Linked DNA regions of Drosophila melanogaster. The protein of the gene in region 1 interacts with the protein of each later gene in a biochemical or structural test. Each region holds a gene or a part of one and is shown in the gene's direction. Other genes may lie near its edges. The genes, in order: neb and Pp1-87B.

Region 1 (10,387 bases):
CCGTGGGCTGGCAACAGCACCATTTCTCCTCGATTCCGGCCATTTGGCAAGTGCGATTGAAGGGCAGCTCGAAGAAAAGCGACTGACAGCTCTTACACTGCCTTGCCCTTAGATTATCCGGGAACTCATCCACGGACTTGCTATCCAACTGGAGCAAGTGCTGGAGCGTCATGTACACATCGTAGTTGGACGAGAGTCGATTCTGGTTCTTGCCGAGATTACTCGCCAAATGGGGATACTTGCGCCGGAACCAGGGTGGCAAGTAGATGAACATCATCGGCATGCGCTCCTCGAAATACCCAGTGGAAGCCCGCCTCAAAGTGTTATACCGGTGGCCATGATCACTCATCAGAATCACAATGGACTTCTGAAAGAGATTGGACTCCTCGAAGGACTTTAGATACTTCCAGAGCAGGTTGTCCAGTGCAGTGGCTCCCTCGTAGTAATCGTGGGTGAAGCTATTGCTCCATAGAAAGCCGAACATTGGGGATCTGCCGAGGAAGCGATCGATGAACTGCTGGCCAAAGTCCCAGACGTAGCTGAAGCTGAGGTGGCGACCCACGCAGTAGGCAAATCCGAAGTCATTGGTCACTTTAAATTGTTTTTCGATGGCGAAAAGTAGTGGGCGAAGGTAGTAATCCGTTGGCTGCTTCACAAATCCCGGTTTCAGGTAATTGAAGGTACTAATAGATGAACAATCTTCGGCGAAGGCTGTTGTGTAGTTGGCTTTCTTGAAACGCTTCCAAATGAAGTTCAGGGAGTCCAAGCAGCCCGGCTTTGTGACATCACAATAATCCCCTACTCCCTTTTCGGAATCCCCTGTCAGCGCGGCCAGAAGATTGGGAAAGGTATTGTCGCCCACCTTATTGTAGCCCTGCATTTCGAACCAGCCGGGTTGTCTAACGAATTTGTAAACCGATGGCATGGCTCGTCGAAGATTTATGCGCGATGTGGAGTCCAGTCCCATGATCAGAACGCTCGGCTTGTGCACCTCACTTTCGTCCTTCACGAAATCCTTGACCTTCTCCTTTGGGAGGCGGTCCTCGATGAAGGAAATGGCATCCTGTTGCAGCAGCTCCCGGTGCTTGGTCACATCCCTCACGTAGCAACTGGTGATCATGTAGTCGGTGTTGTTCGGAACGAACTGGTGCTGCTCTATGGGCCGCCTTCTTAGCTGACTGAAAGAAATCCAATTGGGCTTATTAACAAAGTCAGAAAGCTTCTCTAATCTCCTTCAACCATTATCGGAATAATATTTATACATTCATATCTGCATGGTATGCTCATACTTACTTATAGGCATTGTCGGGCTTCTGGTCGGAGTTATCCCGTGAAATCTCCTGGTACTCGCACTCCAGGGTGGCATTGCCCTTCCTGTTCATAATGGGCTTGGCCAGGTGCTCGTGCACATGCAGTCGGTACTGATGTGTCTCGAAGTCGAATTCACTCGTTACCATGTCGCTGTCGTTGTGGCAATGCCTTAGCGTCTTTCTGTGGAAATTACTCATTGTGTCCCACGTGAAGGGATTCACGGCGGGCATCTGGCACACCGGACTATATACATAGTAATCATCTGCGCCCTGAACAAGGTTCTCGATCCAAAAACCAAAGCATATTACGATTAAAAGGGCTTGAAAGTCCTTACGCGACAGCGTCATGATCACCTTTGACTGCAGCATTTTCATTGGCGGACCGAAAGTCTCGTTTAATAATTGCATTCACAACGCTTGGCTAATTTAACACGAAAAGCATGAGCGTTTCTTTTCGAATTATTTCGAAATATAACAACTTATTAATACCCATATATATCTTTGTTCATACAGAGTTAGTGACCAGAGGGTCTACCGCCTGGGCATCCGATCGACGACCGTCTGGGCTGTTGCGGTGTTCTGCTGGATCAATGACCGGATCTTCTGCGAGGCCTGGTCCTCGATCAATTTTCCATACCTGCACGGCTTCTGGCACATATTCATTTTTATAGCCGCCTACACGGTGCTGGTGCTTTTCGCCTACTTCTACGTGGAATCGGAGCTGCCCCAGCGACAGCCGCTGCTGAAGTACTGGCCAAAGAACGAGTTCGAGTTCGGGATACCCTTCATTTCGATCCGGAATCCAGGTAAGGCTCTGCGCAACACCATCTAAGGACGATTGCGCCGGAATGGAGAGCTGGCAGAGAAGTGACCAAAGACCAAGCGATAATATCGTACATGCTTTAAAACCATACACAATTATTGTAAAATTGCGGCAACGTAATTGTAGCGCACACTTTTTATATAGTTGAAACAGTTTATTAGCCATAGATGTATTTATATTAAGCAAACGAATCGGATTCGCGGTTGTACCCAAAAGAGATAAGTCTGTTAACGCCTTAAGATTCGGTGCACCTGAACACTTGGGCCTAAAACAATAATAGTAGCGCCCTGCTTAGTCCATAAATGAATGGGCGATTGCTCCGTGGAACTATTGTAGAAAGACATATCTAAATGATGTTTATTGTTCCGTCTATCCCCTAAAATGAGTTTAATCAAAGTCTTCTAACCCGTTCTATGAGTATGAGTTACCATCAGACTGTGATATGTTATGAACTAATTCATCCCATGACTTCCAGAACAAATGGTTCCTACGCTTTCCCAAAGAGACAAAAAATCGTATTAGGTTGTCAGTACCTGAATTTGTTAATTGTCTAATTTACGCAAACTAACCAACTAACACCTACACTTATTCTGGATTGGAAATCTACTAGCATGTAGCAGTAACCACAACTAAAACACTAAACAAAGTAGAGATCGTTGCTCAAAGTATTATGCAATCCAAATCATTCAACCCGCTACCTTGCTGATTCCACAGATTCGAAAGATTGGCTCGTCTACTGCAGTCTGTACATGCAGGACTATGACTATGACTACAAGCACCGAAAGAACTAAGGCAAGAAATCGGGTGGAGAGCCTTCTCCAAACAGAGACATACACAGCGTGATATAAGTTAGAGTTGCAGAAGGTGGAACAACTAAATTATTTATTAACTACAAAGCTCGCCTGCTCATCGCGGAAACCAAATTATGTATAGATGCCATATGGAGCGATAGTTTAGGAAGTATGTATGATTTACTTAGGCTAAACGAATGTCGACAAATATACTGTGTTAGGAATGCAAGCTCTCTTGTTTAATCGCAATAAAGAATAGTATTTCAGTTGCCTTTGTTTTATTCAATATTATGTTGCATTAACATATTTTACTCCTACATACTGTGTAATTCGTATAACTTTTCATTCCCTTACATGGTAAGTGTCCTTTTCTACGCGCGTGCTTAAGAGGTTGGCTGAGTCTTCGCTGATCATTGGTCCAATCAAAAAATTCGTTAGGCGATGTCACAATCTTCGAATGTTCAATCCGAATCCGACGAGATGTTGGTGCACGAATCGTGAGCGATGCGTTTGTTGATGGGGTTGTAGATGCCATTGAGCGGATACGGGCCGCGGTAGCTGATAATGTTCTTTGGGGTCTCATGGATCTTCACCTCGTACAGCAGCTCCGGCTTCTTCAGCTGCAGACGGATGTTGTCCCAGATGTAAACGGCCAAGTTTTCTGTGGTGCTTGGCTGGGGGGGATAGATATAAAGGATAAGTACGGTAAGTTGTGTTGTGCTTGCTGGTTATTTACTGTATTGGCAAAGTATTCGACATCCTTATCGAGATTCTTGTGGTCCAGGCGCTTCATAATCACAGTTTCTATAGCCTCTTTCAGCTCGGTGATGTTTAGCACCATTCCGGTTCGCCGATCGATGGGACCACGGACGGTTATCTCAACTGAAAAGATCACAAAGGATTATAAAAGAACATCTTTCGTAGTCTATTCACACATTTTTTGGTATAATTTGGTATAATCGGCATCGAGTCAAGCTTGAGTTCTTAAGGTTTAGCTATTGACAATCTAAATATAATCCAAATTTCTAATCAGTTGAGCACTTGCGACACTTTATGCTCGTTCAGAACCATTATTCATTATCAATTCTCGGTCGCCAGTCAACATATTGATTGCCTTTGAGCGTTGAACTTGAATATGGTTTTGATAAGCGAGCTTGTCGGCCAAGGTTTTGCTATGGTTAGGCACCACTTTGGGCTCAAATTACCAGTTTAGTAGGGGGTTAAGCCTGATTGAGCCGGGGTTATGTGATAATAAGTGTGGCACTTTGCAGGTAATCATGCGACTAAGTGTATTTAAGGGGTATTTTTTTTTTTACCTGTATAGTTGTGTCCGTGGCCGTGGAAATTGTTGCACTTGCCGAAGACTTCCAGATTCTCGGCGTCGCTCAATTGGGGACTGAAGAGAAAATAGATGCAGCAATCAATTTAAATCGAACTGAATTGGTTTGCCAGCCGTGATTGAATCAGGCAATTGAATGATTCAATTTGATTCAATCTAATTACCTATGGAGACGATGGCAGGCGCTGAAAGTTTCGCGACGGGTTAAAAAGGCAACAGGTTGCTGCGACATTTCAAGTCCGATTTATACTATATATCTGGATCTGTATCTGGATGTGGATTTATATATGCGGCTGATCAGCTGCGCGCTTTGGCAATGTTTTACAATGAATGCAAAACCTGCTTTTGAGCCGCGCTTATTTATATGGTACTTGGATCGAGGGAACAAGGAAATATAAGCCACAAATGCGGCGACTGCGATATCAACACGCTCGGAACTAGTTTCTCTGAACTTTTCGAGTGCGGCTAATTGCAGCTGATTAGCGATTGATGTTCCCTCGTTTTCTGTTGCAAGTGCCTATGCGTGCTGCAAAGACAGGGTGTGGTATGCTATAGCCATGGTAACAAACTCAATTCAGCAAGGAACTCACCTTTAATTGCTATGGATTTTCAATAATATTTACTTTTGTCTACGTTGCTCGTCAACAGCTGCTCCCGATAACAAGGCAGCGCGTATCGGTTATCGGCCAGAGCTGAGCAGTTTGCCGCCACAACTGTTCTCAGTGATTTACAACTGCACAAATAGACTATTGTATGGGTAGAAATCCTTACACTATTACAATTTCGCTATATATTTATTTATTTCATGTTAGTTCTTTGTCAATTATCTCATAATTTAAATGAGCTGATTAACAGAGTTAGCTAACAGAGTATGTAAGTGCTGTTCATCCCTGGCTCGTGGTGGCGTTGCCGGACCTCACGCCGCTCACTGTAATCAACCCTGCTTTGCTATCGATCGCCGCCCTTCACTAGAAAAAAAATAACAAACGACGCCGCGCAATAATTCGAAACTCTTCGGCGTTATTTAAAAAACGAGCAGAGATACCTAAATAATAATCTAGACATGAGCAACAAGAGCACTCCGGTGCGGCAGCGCATCCAGCAGTTCCAGACGCGAGGAGTCCACAAATCCACGCCGGCATCCGAGATGCGCAAGAAGGTGCTGATGACGCGGGCGGAGGATCGGGAGCACCGGGATCGTCCCGAACAGCTGCTGAACACTGCATTCAGCGGGAGCACGCCACAGCCGAAGCCCAAGCCCACGGCCCTGAATGCCTGCTACACACCCTCGTCGCTGTACAGGAATGCGAACTCTACTCCTGGAAGAGCAAAGACGCCCGGCACCGGGAAATCCAGCTGCAGCAGGACAAAGGAGCGGGACTCTCTGATGGAGTCCTGCCTCAGCGTGTCCGAGGAGAGCAACATGATTGTGGCGGTGCGAGTGCGGCCACTGAATGCCCTGGAATGCACACGTGGTCAGGTCACCAATGTGGTCCAGGTGCACGGAAACAGCAACGAGCTGACTGTCCAAGCGGGCAGCAGTGCTGATGCCTCCGCCGGCGTGACGCACTTCTTCAGCTACGACCAGGTCTACTACTCGTGCGATCCCGAACGAAAGAACTTCGCCTGCCAGGCCAAAGTCTTTGAGGGCACAGCGCGTCCCTTGATCGACACTGCCTTCGAGGGCTACAATGCCTGCTTGTTTGCCTACGGCCAGACGGGCTCGGGCAAATCGTACAGCATGATGGGCATTGAAGCATTGGATGACGCCGCTCTGGATGGCGGACCGCCGCACGATGAGGCGGGCATCATTCCACGCTTCTGCCACGAGCTATTCCGCCGCATAGAGGCTGTGAAAAGTCAGCAGCAGCTGCAGGTGGAGGTGGAGGTCAGCTACTTTGAGATCTACAACGAGAAGATACACGATCTGCTGAGTGTCCAGCATGCGGCAGCTGCCACCGGGGAATCCACGCCCATCCAGCAGCAACAACAGCAGCAGCGTCCGGCTCTAAAGGTCAGGGAGCATCCCATCTTCGGGCCCTACGTAGTGGACTTGAGTGCCCACTCGGTGGACTCGTACTCGGCACTCCGCAACTGGCTTGCCGTGGGCAACTCCCAGCGGGCCACTGCCTCCACGGCCATGAACGACAAGAGCTCGCGCTCACACTCCATCTTCAACATTGTCCTAAACCTCACCGATCTGAGCAGTGACGATGGCCTGTCCTCGGATACGGACTCGAGCACGGCCTCCTCCCTGCGGCAGACGCGGCGCAGCAAGATTAGCCTGGTGGACCTGGCGGGCAGCGAACGCATTAGCGTCTCCGGATCGAACGGCGAGCGGATCCGCGAGGGCGTCAGCATCAACAAGAGCCTGCTGACGCTGGGGAAAGTAATTGCTGCTCTCGCCGATTCCCGCAAGGCGATCGCCAATGGACCCCTGGGCTCTGGGACGCCCAGCACCTTCGTTCCCTATCGCGAGAGCGTGCTCACCTGGCTGTTGCGGGTAAGTGTTACGAAATAGTTCTTAGCTGCGTTTGTACTTATCAACCGGGTCAGTAGGTTGGTCTACTTTCGGCTAATGATAACTCTTTCTTATCCCCTTGGTTTTTGAAATCAATAATTGTACCCAGAAGTGATTGCTAAGTATGTGTTTCGAATAAGTTCAGCTCAGTAAAACCTTATAACCTCATGTCTTCAATATAAATGCATATGTATATTCGCAATGCTTTCCGCACTTTTGCCACCACCGATAGGATTGCTTATCAACACTTTCGCTTCGATTAGGCAGTGGCCCACGGAATGGGGTCCCCTTGCAATCAGTAATTACCCGGAAAGCAATCAGTACGTAGAACTGCACTGCAACATGCAAATGACACGTTGACCCCTGCGGAAAGTACCCACAAAATGTTCGTACGGTCAAATGTTTACTTAACTGGCTGGCAGATATTCGTCTTTTCAACAGATCTCGTGATGAGCTATGAAGCCCACTGTCTACAGAGATATCATCTCGACTCGCGCGACACGCGAATTCTGTTTTAATGATGTCTGCACTGCGAGGAGCAGCTGCTAGACAGATTTATGTTGGCTCTATCAATTAACTGGGGTGCTAATTACTTTAATTAAAATAAAGCGTCAAATTGTCCGAAAAAAACAAGGAAAAGAAGACGACAACATCAGCCAGAGATTAGATTGAGTTTATCTGCGCTTTATAGGACTAAATATGAGAGATCTCGAGTTCTAAACTCGAACCTTGTTATCATTCGTTTGTTTATTTTGTTTGCTAAGATTGCCAGCAGACTTAGTGTATTTTTTATTATTATTATTTCCTTATCATTTTCGATAGGAAAGCCTTTTATTAAGGTCTACCAAATCAAAGACCTCCCGCACCTCAATCAATTGAGTGATTAAAATTTTGGCCTCTTATCATATCTATTTAATCTATTGTTGTTGCTTTTCCTATGTGACCATAAAATTTATGACCTGATACAAAGGCGCACGTGTAAACTTTCTAGAAATTTATTTTAAGAACGCGAATAAAAAGATAGCAGTGTCTTCACCCGGGTAATATAATTATTTTGTTATAAAACCTCAGCAAATGCTTACATAGCATTAGCAGGAAAATTGTTATAAACTTGTCATGAGACTTGAATGTTGTGCATTAGTTAACATATTAGCTACTTGTTTCACGATTGTTTGAATTGAGTAACGACTGCGTTTTCTTTAGCAATCAATGTAACATACTTATGTGTGCATTTTAAGTTAACAACTGCTCTTAAGCGAACGCCACACGTTCGTAATAACTTGATTGTTGGAATATTACCAGGCTAGTTAATCCGAAAGTGAGGGTTTTATATAATACAAGTATCTGGCTTCTAAAAAAAGGCGCACTCGACATTTGCGACGTAATTTATAATCATTCGACTGCATTCAATGAGTAATTACATGGCGCCCACAAGTGAGAGGCTCTTGATCGAAAGTCCAAACACTTGTCTTTTTTCCCGAAACCCGTTCCACTGAGTGTTATTTAGTGTCCAGTGTCCACTTTGCTTTTCGTTACGGTAGTACGGCCCATAAAATGGCTCACATGATTTATTTCCGTACGCGGCCTTTGCCATAAAAGGTGAAGACAAATATTTCTTGGAATGGCGTCGTAGGTCCGTAGGGGACTCTCGCAGCCAGCGTAGTGACGAAACGCACCAGATTGTGGTTGCCCAATCCATCTTTAAAATCATTGAAAGATTTAGATGGTTTAGATTTAGGGTTTGTATGTTGATTGTTACTAGTTGTTTTCACCCCTTTAAAAGGAGGGGGGTTTTGTTGTGTTTTTTTTTTATATATCAGCCGACCTTGTTTTTTGCCTCTGATATTTTTGGGCTTCCATGGTTCCTATCTATCCGTGAAGTACTTTTCCTATCTTTGCATACGACACAAAAGTTCCATCTACATCTTCACTTGCCACCCCATAGATTTAAAAATACTTTGCAGATAATGCTTTATTTGGTATTTTTGTGCGGTACTTCGGCACTAAAACATTATAACACTTGATACGTTATCGCGTCTCCTAAGTTGCGACACCAACAATTTCAATTGTTGCTGTCGTTGTTGACGTTTTCCACATTTACACGCTGAAGGCTCGCATTTGCAATTGCCCTTGCTCAGCTTTTTTCCATCCTTAAGAGCTGCAATAACAATTTGTACACAAAATGAATAATTTATATACAGATAGTTAGGATGGTAACTAAACGTTTACGAAGTGTATACAAGCCAATAAAGGTAATTGATGGCAGAGTATGTTACAATTAGCAAATATGTTTAGGCCAAGTAAAATCTAAAGTTAACCAGGATTTGGGTACAATGTAAGTAATGGGAGATGCTTTATAATCAAAATTGGTTGGTGTTTTATAACTTTAATTTTTAACATTAGTTGTGATTTGACATTTGCAGTCCGTTTTGTTTATTAGCACAGACTCGTCAATTTAAAGTCATATTTAAGTTCATTATCCAAAAAGCTCATTATTCGAAACAAAAAAAGAATACTGTTAATACTGTTATTTAACTGGCTTAATAACAGTCCACTTATATGAAAATGGTTTTGCACTACGGCTAGGTTTTGTAAAAGAATAATTCAATTTTTGATAGGTAATTAGAATAGTTGACATATTTTGATGTAAGTATTTCACTTTAAATACCATGGCCTAGCTATTAAGTTCACCTTGCGACTTGACTCCTCTGGAACTTTTCAGTTTTTGTAACAAGCGGTTCAGCATTTTTTGAAATGCAAAGGGATATATTCTGTTCTCCAAGAAATAAGTCCTTTTTTATTCATTAAACTATAGTTTTTTCTCAATTTTTATTAGTTTTGAGAACTCGTTGCGACCTTCACATGACTGGGGGAACTTTGGAACTGGAAATGCGGAGTCCCAAGCCAGCTTTCTAAATAAATTCCAAATTAACTTGCTCGTGTGCAAAGCCCTAGAAACCGCACTGAGTTCACAATCAGCATTTTCCGAGTTGGATTTGGAAAGCCACAAACACCGTTTAGATAGCCAGGGAATGTGGGATTTTGAATGAAATCCAGAAACATCGAATTGAATGCAAATGACGTAGGTTCACACGATTTCAAATTCGATTGATCTGCTGTTTCTAATACGTGTCTAATACGAAAAGCGTGCCACTGAGGATACGTCAGTTAATTATTTTCGTAATTAGCAACAGGCGAGTTGTCTGTCGCCGTTATGAATTTTCAAATAAGCCACGTTTTCAGTTCACAAATGAATGCTAATTATGTGAACTGAAAAAATTTGACATACGAGTAGTAACCAGATTAATTATTCACAAGATTTCGACTAACTGAGCCATTCAATAATGTAAATAGTAGTAGTTATAAATAGTATAGTATAGTATAGTAGTTATAAATTCAAAAGTTTGTATCTCTGACCCACGTTGGCATAACAAAATGCTTCGAACGTGTGCTCTCCGTTCCAGTTTCCCGCATAACAACAATTGTAATTTAAGCCACACTGTTTAATAATATATTTAGCCCCAACCAAGTGGTTAGCATTGGAATATAAAATGAGTCGAATTCGATGCACAAACAACTGAATATGTATATGGCTTCCTCCCC
Region 2 (10,068 bases), on another chromosome or scaffold:
ATCGGAGCCCTTCTGACTCTTGTCCAGCGTAAAGTGGCGCTCCACTATGCGTGCTCCCAGCAAGACGGCGGCCTGGCTAATGATCACTCCCAGCTCATGACCCGAGTACCCAATTGCCACATTGGGAAAGCGTGTCCTTAAGACGGATATCAACTGCAAGCTGCAATCTTTTGGGTCAGTTGGGTACGATGAAACGCAGTGCATTAGAGCGTAGTCCTCTTTTCCTGACTCCCGCATAGTTTGCACAATCCTCTCCACAGTTTGCATAGTCTGCATTCCGGTGGAGATCACCAGGGGCAAGTTCAAATTGGCGGCCTTTTTGAGAAGCGGAAAGTTGTTTGCGTCTCCGGAACCAATTTTGATGAAGGGAACATTTAGAGCAGAAAGGAACTCCAACGATCTCTGTTTAAAATAGCATATACACACATTAATAACTATTTAAGCAAGAAACAAGGGAAAAAAGGAATTGTTAGTAGTAGTAATTGGTTAACAATTAATTAATATCAACCTCATCCATGGCGGAAGCCGTAAAGTCCACATTTAACTCCTTGCAGTGGGCCTGCAGCTGGAGATACTGATCTTTGGAGAACTCCAGGTACTCCTTGTGCTCCCCGTACGTTTTTCCCCAGGCGTGATCACTGATATATTCGCGATCTAGAGCGGATCTCGTAAACTTTGCTGGCAAATCCGATTTTTGAAACTTGACGCAGTGGCAACCGGCTTTTTTGGCCTCCCATATCATTTTCTTCGCTGTTTCCACACAACCTTGGTGATTTTGGCCAATTTCCGCTATAATATAGACGGAATCAACTAATTTTCCGCTTATGATATCGTTTAACAGCATTTTGATTAAATTGAAACCCGCCTATTTAACAGTTAATTAAATGATTAGCGGGCGTAGGCAGGAAATGCATAGAGTATCGAATTATCGATAACAAGACATGAGCACATTTCATACAAAATTTTTACATAGTGTGATTGTTAATATATCTATCAATATATTATTTAGTTTTGTGAGAATTTAAGGGAAATTTGGCATTTTAAATCATAACTCATGTGGAAGTTATTCCAATAAGGAAAATGAATTAACCTATGTTCTGTAAACGAATATTCTTATTGGCTTATTTGAATTTCCAATGTATTTAAATATCCCCTTGTTACCGGTATATCGAATAGCCTCGCCAAATGCATCAGTCTCCCATCTCTTTTCCACAGTAAGTCATGCCAGGCGTGCCTGAGTGCAAGCGGGATGGCTAGTGTCCCCCTGATCAGGCTGCCACACCGCTGAAATAGAGTAACTGGACGCCATGCGTTTAATCGATTACTAACAGCAGTTTCGAGCCACTATAGGGTCGAGAAGACCCGTTTCGAATGAAAATATAAAAGTAGAGCTATTGCGGAACTCTTGCAATGGATTGGAAATGTCCTTAATGTAATAAGAGTAATATTACAGCAACTTCGTTATCGATTATGCACTATATTTGCATGTTATCGATTAGATAAGATGGCGTCTATTATCTGGCCATATCCGCGACTTCCGGCAGTGTGGCAACATCAGCTAGAAGCACACTCGCCATCCCGCCCGCACTCACGCAACAGCATACGAAGAAATTTTCATACTTGTTAGCTGTGAAAAGTATTTAGCAGAAATAGATTTCGGAAATTAAAGATTTCGAGGCTATTTCGGCGCTACCAACGATCGTTCGCGGTAACCTCGACACCCAACAGCAGCACTAGTGCACCAGATCCACACTTTCGCACGCAAACATGGGCGACGTGATGAATATCGACAGCATAATATCGCGACTTCTCGAGGTGCGTGGGGCACGGCCAGGTAAAAACGTACAGCTCTCGGAGGGCGAGATCCGGGGACTTTGCTTGAAGTCGCGCGAGATCTTCCTGTCGCAGCCCATTCTGCTCGAGCTAGAGGCACCGTTGAAGATCTGCGGCGACATCCATGGACAGTACTACGATCTGTTGCGTCTGTTCGAGTACGGCGGCTTTCCGCCGGAATCGAATTACCTGTTCCTCGGCGACTACGTCGATCGCGGCAAGCAATCGCTGGAGACGATCTGCCTGCTGCTCGCCTACAAGATCAAATACTCGGAGAATTTCTTCCTGCTGCGCGGCAACCACGAATGCGCCAGCATTAATCGCATATACGGATTCTACGACGAATGCAAGCGTCGCTACAGCATCAAGTTGTGGAAGACATTCACGGACTGCTTCAACTGCCTGCCAGTGGCGGCCATTGTCGACGAGAAGATCTTCTGCTGCCACGGTGGTCTCAGTCCCGATTTGACCTCCATGGAGCAGATCCGTCGCATTATGCGGCCAACCGATGTGCCCGACCAGGGACTGCTGTGCGATCTCCTGTGGTCCGATCCCGATAAGGATACCATGGGCTGGGGCGAAAACGACCGCGGCGTTAGCTTCACCTTCGGTGCCGAGGTGGTGGCCAAGTTTTTGCAGAAGCACGAGTTCGATCTCATCTGCCGAGCCCATCAAGTCGTCGAGGATGGGTACGAGTTCTTTGCCAAACGCATGCTGGTCACCCTGTTCTCGGCGCCCAACTACTGCGGCGAGTTCGACAATGCCGGCGCCATGATGTCCGTGGACGATACGCTGATGTGCTCGTTCCAAATCCTCAAGCCAGCCGACAAGCGTAAAAAGTAATATCACACAACTGCAGCACCACGAGCAGTCTTTTTCTATCTAAAACAGATCAATAAGAAATCCAAACAAGATACAAAAGATAAACACGACAAAAACAACCACAAACCCAACCACACAATCAACCAGAAATAAAATCCTTTGAAACAACACATCAAATGATGCATGAAACGTAAGTATGGGCTGCTGACGCAGAGTAACAAACTAGTGAATCACACTCTCACCCCAACCTTATCTCTGTTTTTGGTCACTTTTATCATCGGCAGCCGGGGCGAGTCGAAATCCACAAGAAATTGCACCATTAATTTGGTATGGAATAGCAGCGCCACGATCAAAGGACATCCCCAGAGACATCCCTTCCAGCAGATGACTGCAGTTTTCCCCTTCCACCCCACACCCATTGAGATTTAAATCGCAATTACAAACACATTGACAAATACCATGATTAAAAGCCACATATTTATTTGTAATAGCCCCCGTATATATATATATATATGTATATCTACCGACCGACCAACCATTCACCCACGCACACACATGTACACACATTTGAACACCAGCGCTTTTATAGGTTTTGTCCAAAATTTAAACACTAGGTTAATCAACTGACCGTTCGAGCAGAGCACCAAGCGCATAACCATGCAGATTAGATGGAAACGGAGCAGCAGAGGAGCGACTGGACGCCAGTCGGTCACAAAGCATACAGATGTGGGGGCCCTGTAGTGCTCGTTGGCCTTAAGAGTATAGAGCAAGTGAAAACAAAACAAGAAACAAAAAATCGAAGAGGGGAAATCGTTGAACCGAGGAGGTGGAGGCGAATGCTTGCCAAGAAGTATAAAGAGGAATTATAAGCACTAAGTTTCGACCTTGAATCAGTTTTTTTTTTGTTCGTCCACAATGCAGTCCGACCGAATGGACCAGCCAGCCAGCCAGCCAGAGAAATATCTGCAAGAAAATCAGCGAAATATATTAGTTTGTCCCTAAAACTCCTTACCATTCATCAGCTATTCAAACGTCCGCTTCCCGTCATTTTAAGGATGTGTTTTTTAAAAATTAACTATTATTAATATGTATTATCAATAATCCTTTGTATTAATAAACAAATGATATAAAACGTGTATGAATTATGAAACTGATTTCAATAAACACATTTGAAAAATCCATAATACGCTGCATGCGCTCATGCTTTATTTCGCTTTATTTACATGTAAATTCCGGAAAATACTTAACATTTCTTCTAAATGAATGCGTTCTAAATGGGATGTTTTTGTTTTTACGTTTGGTGTGTGCTGGCACGTGCTGCTGTCATCTGAGATCTACTCACTGGAGCCACTGGCTTCAGCTTGGACGGTTGGGCTTGGCTGTGCGGCTTCATCGGTGGTCACCACCGAGTTCCCCTCAATCTGGCAGGCCTCCACAGCGGCAGTTATCTCCGCAACGTCCGCCGAACTTTCGTTAGGTTTCTCCAGCTCAGTCTCGCCGTTCTCCTGCTGCTGCTGCTGCTGCTGCTGCTCCGCCGCCTCAGTGGACTCGGCCACGGTCTGTGGCGCCTCCGTTGCGACCACTACTTCACTTGAAGCCACTGGCTGATGACCCTGGAGCACGTCGGGATTGATGCCGTTGATGATGGCGCGCAGACGCTGGATCTCCTCGTTGGCCAGCTGCAGATCCTGCTGCAGGCGCTCGTACTTGTCGTGCTGGTGGCGCACCACGCCGATGTGGTTACGGATGTAGTCCATGGGATTCTCGGGCCGCTCCTTGATCACGCGTATGAAGAGCTTGGTCAGCGAGTCCAGGACGCTGCCGCGCTCTAGATAGCGCCGGATCTCGTCGCGCTTCGGGTCAATGGGCTGTGTCATTGCGGGAGACTCTTGTTTAGCCAATGGCAATCAGTTTTTGGACAAAAGCTCACCTTAAAGGACATCTTTGCAAAATGGAGATGTGCGGTGTGGCTGTGGGCGCAACTTCGAAAAATGCCAAAGTCAAGCCCCCTTGAAGCCAGGGCTGCGTGCTGCAATCATACGGAACTGGTTCGGTTCCAATTGACTTTTTATGGTTACACTTTTAAAATTCAATTTTTGAAAGTTTAAATGGATTATGAAAACCAGTGTTTTACATTTAATTGATTGTTTTTTTTTTGTTCTGCTCTCCATTAAAAAATATATATTGGTAACTGAGTTCTAGCAGTTGAAAATGTTATATTAACTTTTGAAAATTGACTTTCTCGTTGTAAAGATAATTTGGAAACCACTTTTTCATATTTCGAAAGTATTCAAAATTCGAATATATCGGATTTTTCGAAACTTGCGGCTGAGAACGCACTGCGCATGTCCAACAATTGAATCTCTCACATGTACATGCCCAATTTCCTTGCACTGAATACAGCAATTGTGCAAACGGTTTTTTGAGTTCAACTCGCCAGGAATTCAATTCAATCCAATGATGCACACATTCGAGAACACCTTCATCCGTGGACCATCGCCGTCATATTCCGACGACGCCAACTCGGAGAACGCGCTCTCTGTGACGCTGCCCATTGGAGGAGTTGTGCCGGACTTGGACTTTTGTCGCGACGACTCGAAAACGGATACGGGCGATTACTTCGATGAGAAGTACAACAGCGACAGCTGCTCCCGCCTGCATCCGGGTCACCAGGGACGCAACACGTTCGCCTTCTGGACCATTGTGGTGTTGCTGCTGGTGCTGACCGTTGGCAATCTTCTGCTGACGCTCACCATTGTGGGTGTGCTTCGCCTGGGCAAAGGTGTCCAGGGCATGGAGGTGATACCCGAGGTGGATTTGGTGAAGTTCTACGGTACCACGGACTTGGAGCGCGTGCAGACGAACTCGATTGGCCAGATACACGGCTTCTCGGATGTCCCGGTGACCATCAGCAGTGATGCTGGTGACGGCGAGGGCGGCGTCCATGTGCGCGTCTTCCGCAATGGCAATGGAGCAGCCAGCGAACGCGATAGGATCGTCCTGAACAGGGAGGGTATCCTCGTGCAGGCCACGAACTTGTTCGAGGTCAAGGACCCCGTCGACAAGCAGCCGATTTTCACCACCCATCGTCCGCAGTATAACATTCCGGGCGGAGTGGAGGCGCTGCAGGCCAAAGTGGTTAGTGCCAGCGGCATCGTCAGTCCCATCGACGAGTCCCTGGTGCTGGAGAGCGACGGACGCATGGCCATCAGGGGATCCGAGGGCGTCTACTTCGACGGAGCCAGCGTTGACATGCAGGCCGAGCACCACATTCTCATCAACTCCACGCAGGGCGCCACCATCCTGGAGGCAGGCACGGGTATCTTTCTGGACATGGACCGCATTCCCATCGTCAGCTCCGAGCTGGGTCTCCGCACGGGCAGTGTGCAGTACAAGATTTGCGTGTGCATGCCGCATGGAACGCTCTTCCGGATCGCCATACCCAGGGTACACAACGGACCCAAGATCACATGCGCCCACTTCAGCGGCAAGGACGATCCCTGCGAGATCAACTAAGTGCGTTTGGAAATAAAGTGCAGCGTTACGATTATCGTATCCCTAAAACAAATGTTACGTAGCACTTTTTATTTTCGGAGGAAATGTACACGATTTGTTAGAGCGTAATGTAAAAACCGAATCTAAATTTGCATTGCAATGCGAAGGATGATCCATTTGGAGCTCGGGGCGGGTTGGGTTGTGGCGGGATGATGGGGTTGTGGCTTTAGCTTTGAAAACTAAAAAATTCCGATTGGCCAGATATAATACAGAGATGGCGTTGAATTTGCTTAATGACAATGTACACAATGAGGCGGGCGGGCGGGCGGCAATTCAAATCAAGAATGAAAAACGGATTGGCGCGCGGGTTAGCCAGCGTCCGTCCGGATGGGGGTAACCTAAACACCCGGCGGCGGCGGCGGTGGTGGTAGTGGTGTTGGTGTGAGCGGCGACTGAGCAAGCTGGTGGCGGGTCCTAGACGATCTGGGAATCACGCCTGCCAGATTGTCCGGCACCATGCTAAGAAGCTCAGCTTCACTTAGATGCGCCAAACGGCCTTTGCTCCTCGGCTTCTTCGATGCTACAGGAAAGGAATCGTTGATACTAATGCCAATTGATATTTGAGTAAGCACAGCTGACGTACCAAATGAACTGGTTGCGGTGATGTCGTCCTCGGGATTGTATTCCTCGTCTCCATCATCAGCACTGGAAGGCAGATTAGTCTTGTCCTTGATGCTGGCCAGGATCTTTGAAAGATTTGCGGGTATTGATATGGCGGCTAGCACATTGGATGAGGACGCGGATCCCTGGGAAAAAACGAGCAGGGATATGAATGCAATGGATTGGAAACATTTTGCGTCGCCTGAGGTCAGCACTTACTGTGGGCTCCACTTTAAGCAGGCCGGCAATTTCCATTTGTTGCGCAGCTATTTGTTTGTTGATTTCGTTCACCTGCCGTTCCAGATCGTTCGGCCTTTGCGGAGCACTTGGCACCAGTTCGTCGTCGGAGCCACCAGGCGAGTAGGGTTCATCGGCGTCGTTCGGCACCGATGGCTGTGGCACCACCTTCGGGGCAGCTGAAGGTACAAAACCATTAACATCATCCTCTTACGTATAGATGTTAAACTTACTTTTCTGCAGCTTAGCAATGGGCGCCTTGATAATGGCATCGATATCGAACTCATCGTCCTTGGAGCTGGTGGAGTGTGTGCTGATCTTGCGTTTGGGACTGCTCTGCGCCGGGTACGAGATCGAGCTGCGAGATCTCTGCAAAGGGGAATAATAGTACATACTTTCAATATGGAATAATTTGCTATTTCCTTACCTTTGCCACTTTGCTACTGAGGGCGGGAACCGGAGTAGGCACAGACGGAGTCGATGGCACAGCGTCTGCAGGTCGCTTGCTGAGACACCGCACAATGATGCCGAGCAGCGTGTTGGGTCTTTGCGCTTCTTCGTAGAAGGGAACTGGCTCCGCGGTCTGCAGCGCTGGTGGCAACTTATCGCCGCTACCCAAGGGGAATATGTAAAAGTCGCGTATCTGATCCGAGTCCACGCCCAGGACGCCCAGACGCTGACGCGAGTCCAGGTATTCGAAGAAGAGATCAAACTTATACGTTTCGCTGGGCGAGGCGGGGAATATGTTCACAATGACCACTTCCTTTGTGGGACTCTTCTTTAGCTTCTTGATATATTCCCAGACATTAACGCGGGTTATGCGACCGATTACGTCCATCTGACTTGGCATCAGGTTACCCAATTGATGGCAGTTACCCTGCACGGGGTACATGACGATTTCGAAGTCGGCCAAATCGATCATCTTGAGAGTACCGGACCACAGTGAACTCGTCGTCAGGCCGTGCAAGTAGCGGGAGTAGTTGTCCATTGGCTCAGGTGCCTTCAAAGAACTCGGAAGCGTTGGAAGTGGCTTGGGTGACGGCTTTGGTTTGCCTAGATTCGCCGCCTGCTCGACTGTTTTCTCCGATTCCAGAATTTGATCAACCAAGTTGTAAGCACTCGCCTCGGTTTTCTTTTCCGCCGTCTTTTTGGGTACCGGCGATTGGTCGTTTTCGTCCCTCTTCTTGGGCAAGGGTGATGGAACGATCTCATCCCTTTCCCGGCTCTGTTTCTCACGCGATCTATGCTCACGCTCCCCGCTGCCTGGCTGCTCTCCTCCTTCGTTGTGCTGCCTGCGATGGCGCTTATCGACGCTTCGACCCCGACTATTGGAACGACTTCGACTGCGCTTTCGATGATGATGCTTGTGGCTCTTGTGTCGCTTTTCCTTCGATGAACCCGCCTTTTCCCTGGACGTGGAACGTTCCAGTGTGGAGGTAGACGGCTCACTGACCAGCGACGTCTGTTTTGTGTCCGCCATAGATGATGCTTCACTAACGTTCTCTTCGGGCAGCGTAACATCCACTTTGGTGGCGATTACCTCCTCTCCCTTGTGTGTTTTCACCACATAGTTTTGGGCACATGCCAACAAGTCCAGCTCCGATTTCTTGATCATATCCAACTGGTGACGGTTTTCCTCCTCCCGCCACTTGGCCAACTCTTGGCTGGCCAGCTGTTCCGGCGTCATCCGCACCAACTGCCTGGGCTCCACTTGCTTGGCACAAATCTTTTCGAAAAGCGTTCGGTTCTTGCGATCCTTTATGTTGAACATAAGCGATCGATACTTGGCCTTGTACTTGGCTCCCACGTCTCGGCCAAACGAGTTGAACATTTCCAGCTCCACGTTCTTGACAAACTGATCCACCTCAAGTACGGTCGGCCACTGAGTCGTTGGCTGGCCAGAGTTCTCCTCGGCAGCCTGAGCTTCTTTGATTCGCGCTAGTAGTTGCTCCCTGAGTGATCGCCGGATGCCGATTCGAACCGGCTCGGGTTTGCCCGCTGCGATACGATTAGGGGTTGGCGCCTGTACTGTAGGTGTTGTCTTCTCTTTATCCTTTTTGGCCAAAGGACGCACGGAAGAGATTCCAAGTTGGTGGCTTGCCTGAACTGTGGTGTTTTGGGGATGGGACAATTTGGCAGGACCTTCAGGTGGCTTTTTTGCAACTCCTAGCACGGCGGGTTCTGAAGTTGAGGTGGCGGCTTCCGGTGCCCCTTTCAGCAAACGCTTCTCTGCGTCGGCTGACTGAACGGTTCCTGAGGGCAGCACCTCGAAGGAGGGATTCTCCTGAAGCCATTTCCGAAACTGATGTGCAGAAGGGGCCATGTGCCCGGTGATAACCCGACCACTTTTACGCTCAAACACATTAATCTGCAAAGCAAAGTGTGCACATTATTTGTTGTATAGTTCTAATTAAATTAACCTTTATTGCATACCCGTTCCACTTTTGACACAGTGTCCGCTTGCCTCAGCACGTCCTCAAACAAGTCCTTCTTCTTGTTCTTTTTGGCATCGAAGGAGTTGTTCAGCAAAGACTGAGCACCGGCATTCTGTGGCAATGGGCCTTTGGTAGCAGCATGTGCTTGAATTGCACTTTGGGCATACTTCCGGATGCACTCTTCGCCACAATAGACGGAAGAGGTGCTCGCCGGTCGCTTGCAGACCACACATAACGTCTCCGAAATTCGTTTGCCAGGTGATGGGCCCAGTCTGATAAAGTTCAGCTGCTGCTGCTGCTGGTGAGAGATTGCACCGGTTGGGAACTTTTTGGCCGGCTTTGCCATTGGAATACGCATGGGGGAACTGGCTACAGTTAAGACCACCGGTAGTGTTCTTCTGGGAGCCGAAGGAGCCGCGACCTGAACAATTTCTGCTGTCGTAGTTAGTACTTTGGTTTCACTCGGCCTCTGCTCAGGTTGAGTGGTTGGTCTGGTGACCAACATGTCTGTTATTCGTGGTTGGCTCTACAAAGATAACGAATCAATAAAAGGTAACTTTATGTCTATTGTATGACTTTACCCTCT

The links.
Region 2: the proteins of neb (region 1) and Pp1-87B form a complex in vitro, tested with the Drosophila melanogaster proteins (one study listed by BioGRID).

The regions. Positions count from the first base shown.
Region 1 is NT_033779.5:20,070,531-20,080,917, forward strand, and holds the start of neb (nebbish), read left to right. Parts: upstream 1-5,226; 5' UTR 5,227-5,326; coding exon 5,327-6,766; intron 6,767-8,739; exon of another isoform or gene 8,740-8,787; coding exon of another isoform or gene 8,788-8,942; intron 8,943-9,475; coding exon of another isoform or gene 9,476-9,530; exon of another isoform or gene 9,531-9,666; intron 9,667-10,387. Other genes in the region: bwa (brain washing), read left to right, coding at 1,824-2,116, 2,848-2,924; CG10730 (uncharacterized protein), read right to left, coding at 1-1,178, 1,294-1,658; pr (purple), read right to left, coding at 3,386-3,598, 3,661-3,806, 4,241-4,320, 4,428-4,495.
Region 2 is NT_033777.3:12,417,388-12,427,455, reverse strand, and holds Pp1-87B (protein phosphatase 1 at 87B), read left to right. Parts: upstream 1-1,538; 5' UTR 1,539-1,767; coding exon 1,768-2,676; 3' UTR 2,677-2,845; intron 2,846-2,939; 3' UTR 2,940-3,835; downstream 3,836-10,068. Other genes in the region: NANS (N-acetylneuraminic acid synthase), read right to left, coding at 1-402, 509-844; CG17202 (uncharacterized protein), read right to left, coding at 3,990-4,523, 4,586-4,597; Scgbeta (sarcoglycan beta), read left to right, coding at 5,113-6,171; pps (protein partner of snf), read right to left, coding at 6,549-6,730, 6,794-6,956, 7,030-7,226, 7,281-7,416, 7,475-9,415, 9,481-10,008, 10,064-10,068. UniProt on the Drosophila melanogaster protein: Is essential for the regulation of mitotic chromosomal segregation as well as regulation of chromatin condensation during interphase.